Drosophila melanogaster: one gene and its partner. The gene in region 1 interacts genetically with each later gene. Each region holds a gene or a part of one and is shown in the gene's direction. Other genes may lie near its edges.

The links. Genes that interact genetically often act in the same process or in processes that back each other up.
Region 2: of aop (region 1) and Raf, changing one suppresses a phenotype caused by changing the other (phenotypic suppression), as found in Drosophila melanogaster (3 studies listed by BioGRID).

Annotation. Positions count from the first base shown.
Region 1 is NT_033779.5:2,175,720-2,180,629, reverse strand, and holds the start of aop (anterior open), read left to right. Parts: upstream 1-1,875; 5' UTR 1,876-2,783; intron 2,784-4,910. UniProt on the Drosophila melanogaster protein: Ets-related protein that functions as a negative regulator of photoreceptor development acting antagonistically to pnt and the proneural signal mediated by RAS. It acts upstream of SINA to inhibit R7 development.
Region 2 is NC_004354.4:2,293,578-2,298,485, forward strand, and holds the start of Raf (Raf oncogene), read left to right. Parts: upstream 1-1,888; 5' UTR 1,889-2,381; intron 2,382-2,576; 5' UTR 2,577-2,776; intron 2,777-4,908.

The DNA of each region.
Region 1 (4,910 bases):
CGCAGCAGAGGCGTACTGGTTGCATTGCAATGGCGAAATACAGATGTACAAACGCTGATTGGCTCAATTGGACGACTATTTGAACTCTGACCCCTGTGCGATCCTCATCGGCAGCTCTGCCCCTTCCGCCCCGTCCTCCTCCTCCGCCAGCCACCCTTTCACCCTGGAATTTCCCGATGGGCGACGCACCATGACCGAAGCTACTAATTTGGGCCAGTGATCGTCGCTGCGGCGATCACTTGGAAACGTCGTCATCGCCATCGCAGCTATCGACGGAAAAGATAGCACTTGAAAAAAATATCTCTATTATATTTCTTAATTAGAGTCACAATCTAAAAGTTCTTTAATGTTTCATATCACGAGGCTTACTCGCTAAACTATTTATAGCCATAAAAATACATGTTACTATTTATTACTTACCTAAATGCCCATTAATCTAGATTTTCTTTCAGTGCATACCCACGGAACTGAGCAGGGGCGTGCAGGGCGTGGGCGGGGTCGTCCGGCTGGTCGCCGTTTATGGGCATTTGACTTGAAATGTCAACGTAAACGTTGCTCGTTGCTCGGGGAGAAACTGGTTAGCCAACTGAGGCGACTGGAGACCCCAAAGCGGATGCAGTGCAACTGAGCGCATCTTCAGGCCCACCGACCGACCGACCAACCGACCGTCCAAGCAACCTGACGAGGAACCCCAGCCCCGCCCCCTTTCCAAAGAGATTTTCCGTCGCAGCCGAGCGGAAATGTTCCAACAATTTATAATTAAAGATTGCCAACTGGTTTCCATGAAGATCCAAGATTTATGGGATCGAAAACACCTATCAGCTAGCACCTCCAAACATTTTGTATTACAATAGAGCGCTTTTCCCAGGCGCGTGGCGCTTATTTCATTTTCGGCCAGGGGGTCGTATTCATAATTATTTCAAATGCTTGAGAGCATTATCGCACACTGATTAGAGTTCACGGAATTGTCTTATCTATGGTTTATGTGCAAAAAGCTCGCCAATAGTCACAATTGACAGCTAATGGGTATGGCATGCTCGATCATTTCAAGTTTCCAGTCACAATAGGTGTGTATGTTATCTAGTGAGAGAACGATCCCTTGGTATTTCGGCGCCCATGCTTCTGGTATCAGCATGAATCGTTTGTTTAAACTTTATCTTCTATTGATTAACAACTAAATCGAGCGCCCCACGCGAATTCGACGCCGCCCACAGACAGCGGTTGCCTATTGAGTTGTTTCGTAGTAAACTTTGGTGGGTTTTAAATTATTTAAATTATTACCTCTGCGAGCTGTTGCTTCTTTCGTTGCCAAGGAAGTGGATGGTGGATCTGTAAATGTTTACGCGCCTAATGATTTGTTTGTGGTCTTTGCACACACTCCTACTTCTCAGAGTATAATAACATAATCGAGATTATTATGGCAATTGTGGGGAATCTGGGAATTTTAAAAAATTACGAACATAAAATACGTATGTTAATTGAGATTATTGTGAAATTATTCCGGAATTGGAATTGGAATTTTGTGGCGCATGCAAGTCTCTCAAGCTCTGATATAAGATTGTTTATAAATATTGAAATATAATGAGCAGCTCAGGGGTGTCTTTCAATCGTTAAAACTTTAACTCATATAAGACTGGCGCATCAAAGCTTCACTGTACCTCAAAATATAGGTCCGATTTAAGATATAAATCTTGGACGCTAAAACGGATACGGATCAAAGCGCGACTTCCTTAAAAAATTATCTTATTTTCGTATTCTTCACCAGTTCTTTTTGAATTGTTTTTGCTGTATGTCGCTCTCTTTGCTTCTCTTTCTCTTTCGATTCTCTCTCCGCATGCGCCGACTTGTTCATGTTCGCCGCCTGTTCGAATCGAATCGGCAGTCAAAAAGAAACTGCCGTGCTGGGCGGACGTGTAGAAGAGTCGCTCCTGAAAGCAACTAGACATTCTGCTGTAAATGGCAAACTAATATGTTTTAAATTGATTAATTCACAATTAATAGAATTTAATTCGTGCGCGGCGTTGAGGAAATAAACGGTTCTTCTTAACTCGGTGTGTGTTTACATTGCCCGGTGTGTGTGTGCGCGAAACGGAAATAAAAAATAAACAAGAGCGACAGCAACAACGCCAACAACAACAGCAACATCAGCGAGAGCAAAGCAACGCAACAAGAAGTGCAAGCAAAAGTGAAAAGGAAGACGAAAGAGGAAATGCCAAAGTACAACAACAAATACACGAACAAAACGCCAGAGTGCAAGTGCATCGCGTGAGTGTCTTACAGTGTGCGTGTGCGTTTGTGTGCCCGCGTCTGCCTGTGTGTGCGTGCTGCTGAGGCGGCGGCGGAAGTAAAAACGCTTGACTTCGCCTTCTTCTTATTCATTTGCTCCGCTTTACGGCTGGCATTTGTCGCAGAACGAAGCGAAAACAAAAACAAAAACAGAGAGCCTGGATTAGCCCCAAAAGCACACAACCACCGCCCACGCGGCGCCCCTCACCAAAAGGAAACAGCAACACAAACAACAATGGCAACTTGGCGCGACGCCCTCTTCGTCATCAGCAGATAACAACAAGAACAACATCGAATTAACAGAAACAAAACCAAAAACAAAAATAAAACAAGAAAGCGAAGCAAAAGCTAAAGCATTCTGGGATCTGGACATATCCGCTTCCGCGTTGCTTCTGTCGCTAAAAAGCTCAAGAATCGAATCCGAAGCCCAACGCAAACAGACAAATTCACTCACTCACCTTACAGTACGTAACCACAGTGCACAGTGGAGCAAACAGGTGAGAATTTTGATAATTTGTATACTTTTTGTTGTGAACTGTTAAATTAACCATTGTCAAAATAGTAGCAGAAAAGAGTGTCAAAAATAAAAACATTTTTTCTCAATATGTAAGCACAATGGTTTTTATATCTGGAGTTCTTTTATATTCGTAATCGTGCAAGAATCGGTGTTTACAGACATTACCCCTGTATCACTCCATTGCCGTCGTTGCTTTTTTTTACGAATTGGTTAAAACACCATCTTTTGGTACATGTATTTCCCATAACTACGTCACAATGGTCATGGAAACAGAAAAGTGTCTTGTCTGAGCAGCTGATAAATAATTGCTCCACCTTAATCTGGCTTTGGTTATCTGCTGCATATGACTTCCCCACTTCGCTCCACCCGACGTCTTACAATGTCTGAGTTTTGGTCTCTGGTTGAGGTCAACAATTTGTCGGATCTACACGTGTAAACAGATAACTTGGGCTATATTTGGTTCGCAGTACACTCATATGAGATGGATGAAGACTCGGCAACAACGGTTTATCTAAGGTTTAGTTGATTTATTTGCCTGTTCAGAGGATCTGATTGTGGCGTTTTCATTTGGGGCTTGTTTAAATAATAAGAGTTACAATTTTATGGGGATCTTGGGAGTGGTTTTATAGTTTAATTATTGTTTTGTTATCTGATTGTTGCGCATAATTTGTTGTATGTTCTTCTTGTTTCCAAATATGATTAGATATTTCTTACAGTCTAGTTGGATTGTGATTAATTATTACCTGTGGTTGGTTGAGAACCATATGCAAATACTCATAGCTCAGTCTAGTAACAATATGATATGATAGTAATTTCTCTTCCCAAGCCCAGTGTCTTGACTCTCATTGTATGCACGGTACGCTTCACCGATTCCCTAGCATTCTACAATACGAACAAGATCGATTCACTTGGAAAATAGCCTCTTCTATTTTCACATTCCACTCCACATTACGGTACCTGGGTGCTTTTCGTAATGCCCGTTGCATCATATTGGCCAGGTCCGAGTTTTCCGCCACAAAAATGATGAAAACGGTAATTATCGGAGTGCATATCGGTGTGCTTTGCGCTATATGCTATATGCTATAGAACCGGGCTTTCGGAATCGTTCTTTCTGTTCGGTTCACGAGTCTCTTGTTGCATGCACTTTTCTATGGAAGTGAAGTGAAACAAAAGCGGAGCGTTGAGCTCCAATTAGGGTGACTCCGGCGACTCTGGCAAGCGTCAGCGAAATCTTATCGCAGGGGCGCTATGGCGAAAAGAAATGCCCACACTGTCATAAAAGCGTATGTACATACTTATGTGCATATACATATATGTAGTATGTACATTTAAAAAAAGTAAAACAGCCAGCGGAATTGTGTTTATTTATTTGCTTTTGCCGACCGACGACGTCGAACAAATCAGCCAAACAGTTCCTGCTTCTGCCGCAGCTATAAGGTATATATGTATGTATGTGATTTCAGGGGGTGGCGGTGGGGGGAGCGAACTAGACACACACCTGATCGTGCGCCACCTCCGTTATTTTATTTTTTTGACGAGAGCAGAATTCTCGCCAATAAATTTCATTATGTATAAAACAAACACATGCACTGTTTGGGTCAACTAAATAGCTCCCAAGGAAAAGAATGATTTACTGGTGGTGAAAATTTCACTTCACTTTTAAAATTAAAGTCACTTTTAAAATTTAAAAAAAAAATTGAATGTTCTATTAGCTTTAATATCTTATCGGTAAACACAAAGACCTATTATAAATAAAACGTAAACAATCCCCTAGGCTGGTAAATAATTTTATAACGCAATGTCTTTAAATTAATCTGTCCCTACTTACCTGCTTATGATTGTGCGCACGGATGTATTAAGATTTGTTTCTCAAAAATAAACAGTTTCTCTCTTCAATTAGCGGGAAACGAAATAAAATTTGTAGAAGCTGCGATTTCGCTTGGCTGTTTTCCTTTCCTGGTTCCCCTAGAGACTTGGCCTGGTGACCAGCCGGCGGCAGAAAAGCGGCAAAAGCAGCGTAAATACAATAAATTAAATTCACTTCCGCATTGCTCCCAACAAAAAGAAACAACGTAATGGGGAATGGGTGAATGTGTGCTGTTGTGTG
Region 2 (4,908 bases), on another chromosome or scaffold:
TATTTGTACATGCATACACACAGCTGAGGCAAACAAATAATAACACCTAGGCGCTTAAATAAAAGTTTTTAGGCCAATCGTCTCAAGCTAAATGATTTGATTTACTTTATATAGGTGCTCTGTATGAACTAAGTTAATTGACATATTGCATTAACAATCTTTACAGACACAATAATCTTAGTTCCAACTTGCAAATTGCTAACATAATTTTTCCAATATTCCCACATATCTTAAAACTGTAATTACATTTTCAGTGCTATTCTCTCCACCTGCACTGTACATGTGTATGTATATTTGTCGCAAAGATTTTTACTCATTTGTAACGGAAGCAAATCGCTGGTCAGTGGGTGGTGTATTTGTGTTGTCGTGGGTGTTTGAGTGGTTGGGCGCTTCGGTGATGAGCATAATCCGCATAGTTGTTGCTCCTGCCCCTTTATTATGTAAAAATAGTGACTTTGGCTGGATTTGGCTATGCAAAGTACTTGCTAAGGCAATCACCTACACTTGCGGCAACTGCTAATTGAGAAATCCACACGGCGCTGACATGGAATCATTCGAATCCATTGAAATTGCCAAATTAGGCGTGGGGGTAACCCCTTGAACTTATCGGCTCGGCTTAACGGGTTTAACAAAATTAAATACACACATATGCGCATGTATACATATGTTCATGCTTGTAGAGTGGCTCCTATAGTCTGTTTTGCGAATCAGAATCCAAGTAGAATAGTTTTTTAAGTGTTGTCTCAAAGATGTATGCATACATGGATGTATGTATGTATGTGTGCTTATGACTCTGTAGAAGGTCTATAAACTATGTATTTTGAGGTTTTGAAATGCGAGCTCGAATCAACCCCCTTCCCCGTTTCCAGCTCGATTCATCCTCTTCAACAAGTTCATCTCATCATTTACAGTTTTAGCATGATCCGAAAAATAACAACAACAACAACGACAACAACAAAAGCAAGAAAGTGGGCACAAATAATCGTAACAACAACAATTGTGAGGTCAGTTTGGCACTAGTCAGCGTGTGTGATTATGTGCGCACTTATGTCTGCGTGCATGTACATACATACATATGTTTGTGTGCGAGCACAAAGAGACAATGCAAATTTGCACTCAAACAAAGAGAGAGCGAGTGCAAGTGCGAGTGCGAGAGAAAGGGAAGAGTTCATGAGCGTGCGTTGTGAATGGCTGGAGGGGTCGAGTGCTGTGAGTGGGGGGATCTTTGTTTATCATTTTTGTGTACTATTATTAAGGCGCCGCTGACGGTCGATGACGACATACACACACACACACACACACACACGCAAATGCAAACATAGAGTTTGCACGTGTTTGTGCAAAGTGTTTAGCCGCAAGAAGTAAAGTTCTCGTTTTGATTTTGTTTATTCAAAATTGAAATTCCCAGAAACAAAAGCTCCCATGACGATGATGATTCACATGCCAGACGCTGCGGGGAAAAACATCAGGAACTTTATCAGCTAATTGTGTCACAAGAGGACAAATAAGCCAGAAACATTTGCCTGCGCGCGTTTCTTGGTATAGTGCCATCAACTCGATCTCGATCTCAGTAGTTCATCTTTTATAATGCCCACACACACATACATATGTACATATATGAGCATATGTACATATGTACATAAGTCATATGTACATATATGAGCATATGTATGTACATAAGTCATATGTACGTACATACGTTTTTGATTATCTTAAAAAATTGTAATCACACGTACTCCTGCCATTTGACTTAGACCCACTTTCGATATTGACAAATTTTCAATGGTTTTACATTTTTTCCCCACCTCTATTCATAATTTCTGTGTCTCTTGTGTTGCTTAAATGGGCCGTTTTGATTTCTTTCGCGTCTCATTCCAATTCCATCCCTCTTCCATTCCCATTGCCACACGCTTGGCGCTCTTTTGCATTTTCTTAAAGTCGCCCAGATAAGTTCGGAATTACGTAATTAAGCGGCAGCAGCAACAACAAAAACAACATAACCAACAAGCTAACAATTAAGTATTTATTGCTTTCAATTTGCTGCCCGATAACAAAAGAAGCCAAAAAACAAAAAGGAAAAACGAGAGACTGGAAAAAACAAGCAGAACAAAGTAAATAAAAACCGAAACGGACACACATACACACACACACACACCGCTACCTGCGTCGACAGCGGCAGCGAAATCAGCGCCTCGCTTCAATTTTATTCCGTTTGAATTTGAAGATGTTTTTAGTGCACTGCCATTAAGTCCTTAGCACGCGCTTTTATTTCGCTTCGTTTCAATGTGCAGGTAGGAATAACAAAAAGCGGAGGATGGGAGTGACAACGAAATCGAAACTTTGCAACAAAATTGCATTTGAATGAGCAGCGGGGGCGCGCGGTAATTTCAATTATCAATAACATATTTAAATTCCCCATTCTCCTCCCCTTCTATTATCCTCTGTCCCTCCTTCCCCCCTCCACGGACTCCTACACCTTTTTTAGTCGCTCTCTCAACTCTTGATTGCTCTCTCTCTCCCTCTCTCTGTGCGATGGGAACGTTCTCTTTGCCTTTGCATCGGCCACTTCACTTCAGCGGAGAGCACAGTGGGATAAATTGGCAGTTGATGACCCATTGTTGCATTATTGTGTTTTAACCATAAAGCCAACAAATGCTTGGCGTTCAAGCCCTTCATGGAGTAACGCATATCAACGGATTGTCGGGGATTATCCAACGTCTTAAAGTCAAAATCTTACAAATCGCAGTATTTACCTGGCAAACGTGTTAATCCACAGGTAAGTTGGGCTGAAACCACCCTAAGTCAATATCAAGGGTTTTTTTTTAGATCTTTCTAAAGTTTAATTGTACGCATGTCTTAGCTTCGAATTCTTGTCATCCGAAATGCTTTGTTGTCCATTTGTTCTTGTTCTGGCCCACTGTGCCGCGTGTGAATGAACGTATAAAAAGTGAGAGCGTCGCCTGCCCGACTCATAAACGAAAATCAATGACTCCCAATGCGCGTACCCTTCCCTCACCCCCCTGCGGAGCCCAACGCTTTTTGGGAGTGATAAATGCCGCCTCAGCGTCGTCAGCAGATTTCAGCCTGCGCATGTTTGTCGGCCCGCAAACACTCGCAAACACACACACACGCTCTTCCCGTGATGTTTGTTGATTTGGCTGCATTCAAGAAACGACAGTGCTTGGGGCAGTGGGCATTGTTAGACTTTTAGTCGTTTCAACTCTACTTTCAGTGGGTATCATCCGCAACCAAAAGGAGGAAGGATGAACATTGCATGTGTGTACATACATATGTACATACGCAGTACGTAGTACGGATTACGTATTACGTATGGGCAGTTGCCATTTATGCAAGGTGGCTGTTCCTGCACTCGAACACATGTTTGTGTGGTCATTTGTAATTTGGTCAGGCGAGCAACAAGAAAAAAGGATAATGAAAGGATCAAATGTGCGTAGAACGTACATATAAAGGGTGTGATATCACAATTATTTTCGATGACTTCGTTTAATGTTGGAAAAGTAGACGGGAATGCATTACATCGAAGTGAACTATTTAACTTTGGATAGAACTGTTGTTTTTTGTAGGCATTTGCATTTCTCGCCGCTTCTTCTGCTCCTCCTCCTGCTCTTCGCTTTGGCGTTGGCGAGAGAGCGCCTCGTTGGTCTCTTTGTGTGTTTATGCTTTCAACATTGATACGTGCCACTTTTCGGATGCAGACTTGCGAGAAGCAGCGGGGGGGGGGGGGGGGGAAGAGGAAGTGGCAGAAGCTGGTAGACGGGGGCAACGTGTGGGGACAGCTGGGTGAGTTTGTAATTAATTGCGGCCTTGCCTCCCCTTCACCGCCAAACATCCTCATCCCCGGCAGCCAGGCTCCCTCGCTCGCTCAGGCAAACTCTCTCGCTGAGAAACCAGCCGCCAACAGTTTGTTTTCTTTTCTCGCCGCTCTCATCGTCACTTCCGACTCGTCGGGGGCAGAGGGTGGGCCAGCGGCATACTCTTTGTCTAGTCGCCAATCTCCCCGCACTCCACTTCATTCATGAAGCACAAAGTGTACAGCAGACACTCGCTAAGTGACTAGTGTTTCGTAATTCATTAAGATTTTTGTTGGTTTTCTTCTCTCATTTTTCCCGCACCAATTCTGCACTATTCACAAGTAAAAATGGCACCAACTCTCTTATTTGTGGGCACTAAAACGACCATGAATCGTCGTTCGGTGTTCACTGTACCTGCTGCCAGTAGCCCAAAAACGGACAGTGGCTGAGGCGTCAGCGTCGGCAGAGCAAAGAAAGCGCGCTAGTTACAGTTACAGTTACGTTACAGAGGGCCAAAGACAATGCTAGGCTTGGTTAACGGTAATTACAGCGTTTGTGGGGGGGGGGGGTGTGGTGTAGTGCTCGGGCGTAGCTAGGCAGAGGGATATTTGTTAATACATATGTAGCACTCGAATTCTTTAGTTGGTTTATAATATCATCAAGAATGAGGAAAAAACTAGCTAATTTGTTGATAAATGTTAAGATGCCCCTCTGTTTTAAGTCCTCACTAAGCCCATGAAAAGCACCGTTAATTGAGTGGGATGATCCCCATTGAAAGCGCAGTACTACAGCTAATTCCAATACCACTTTCAATATCCAATTGCTCGCCTTTCAATCGTCGAAACGGTGAACGAAGAGGAGAAAAGATAAGGGTATGTACCGAAATGTGGAAATACCCGAAAGGGCCATTGGAATATGGGATATTGAACCCTAATCGTGAAGACCTCGTGTTTTCTTTGACTCATCAGCCGATTTTGCGATAATGCGCTCTTTTTGGTATCCGTTGGATGATACATAAATTAAATACATAAATGATAACTTATAGAAACACCATACACAACTGTTTAGAAATTTGTGTCAATCACTGTGACTCACT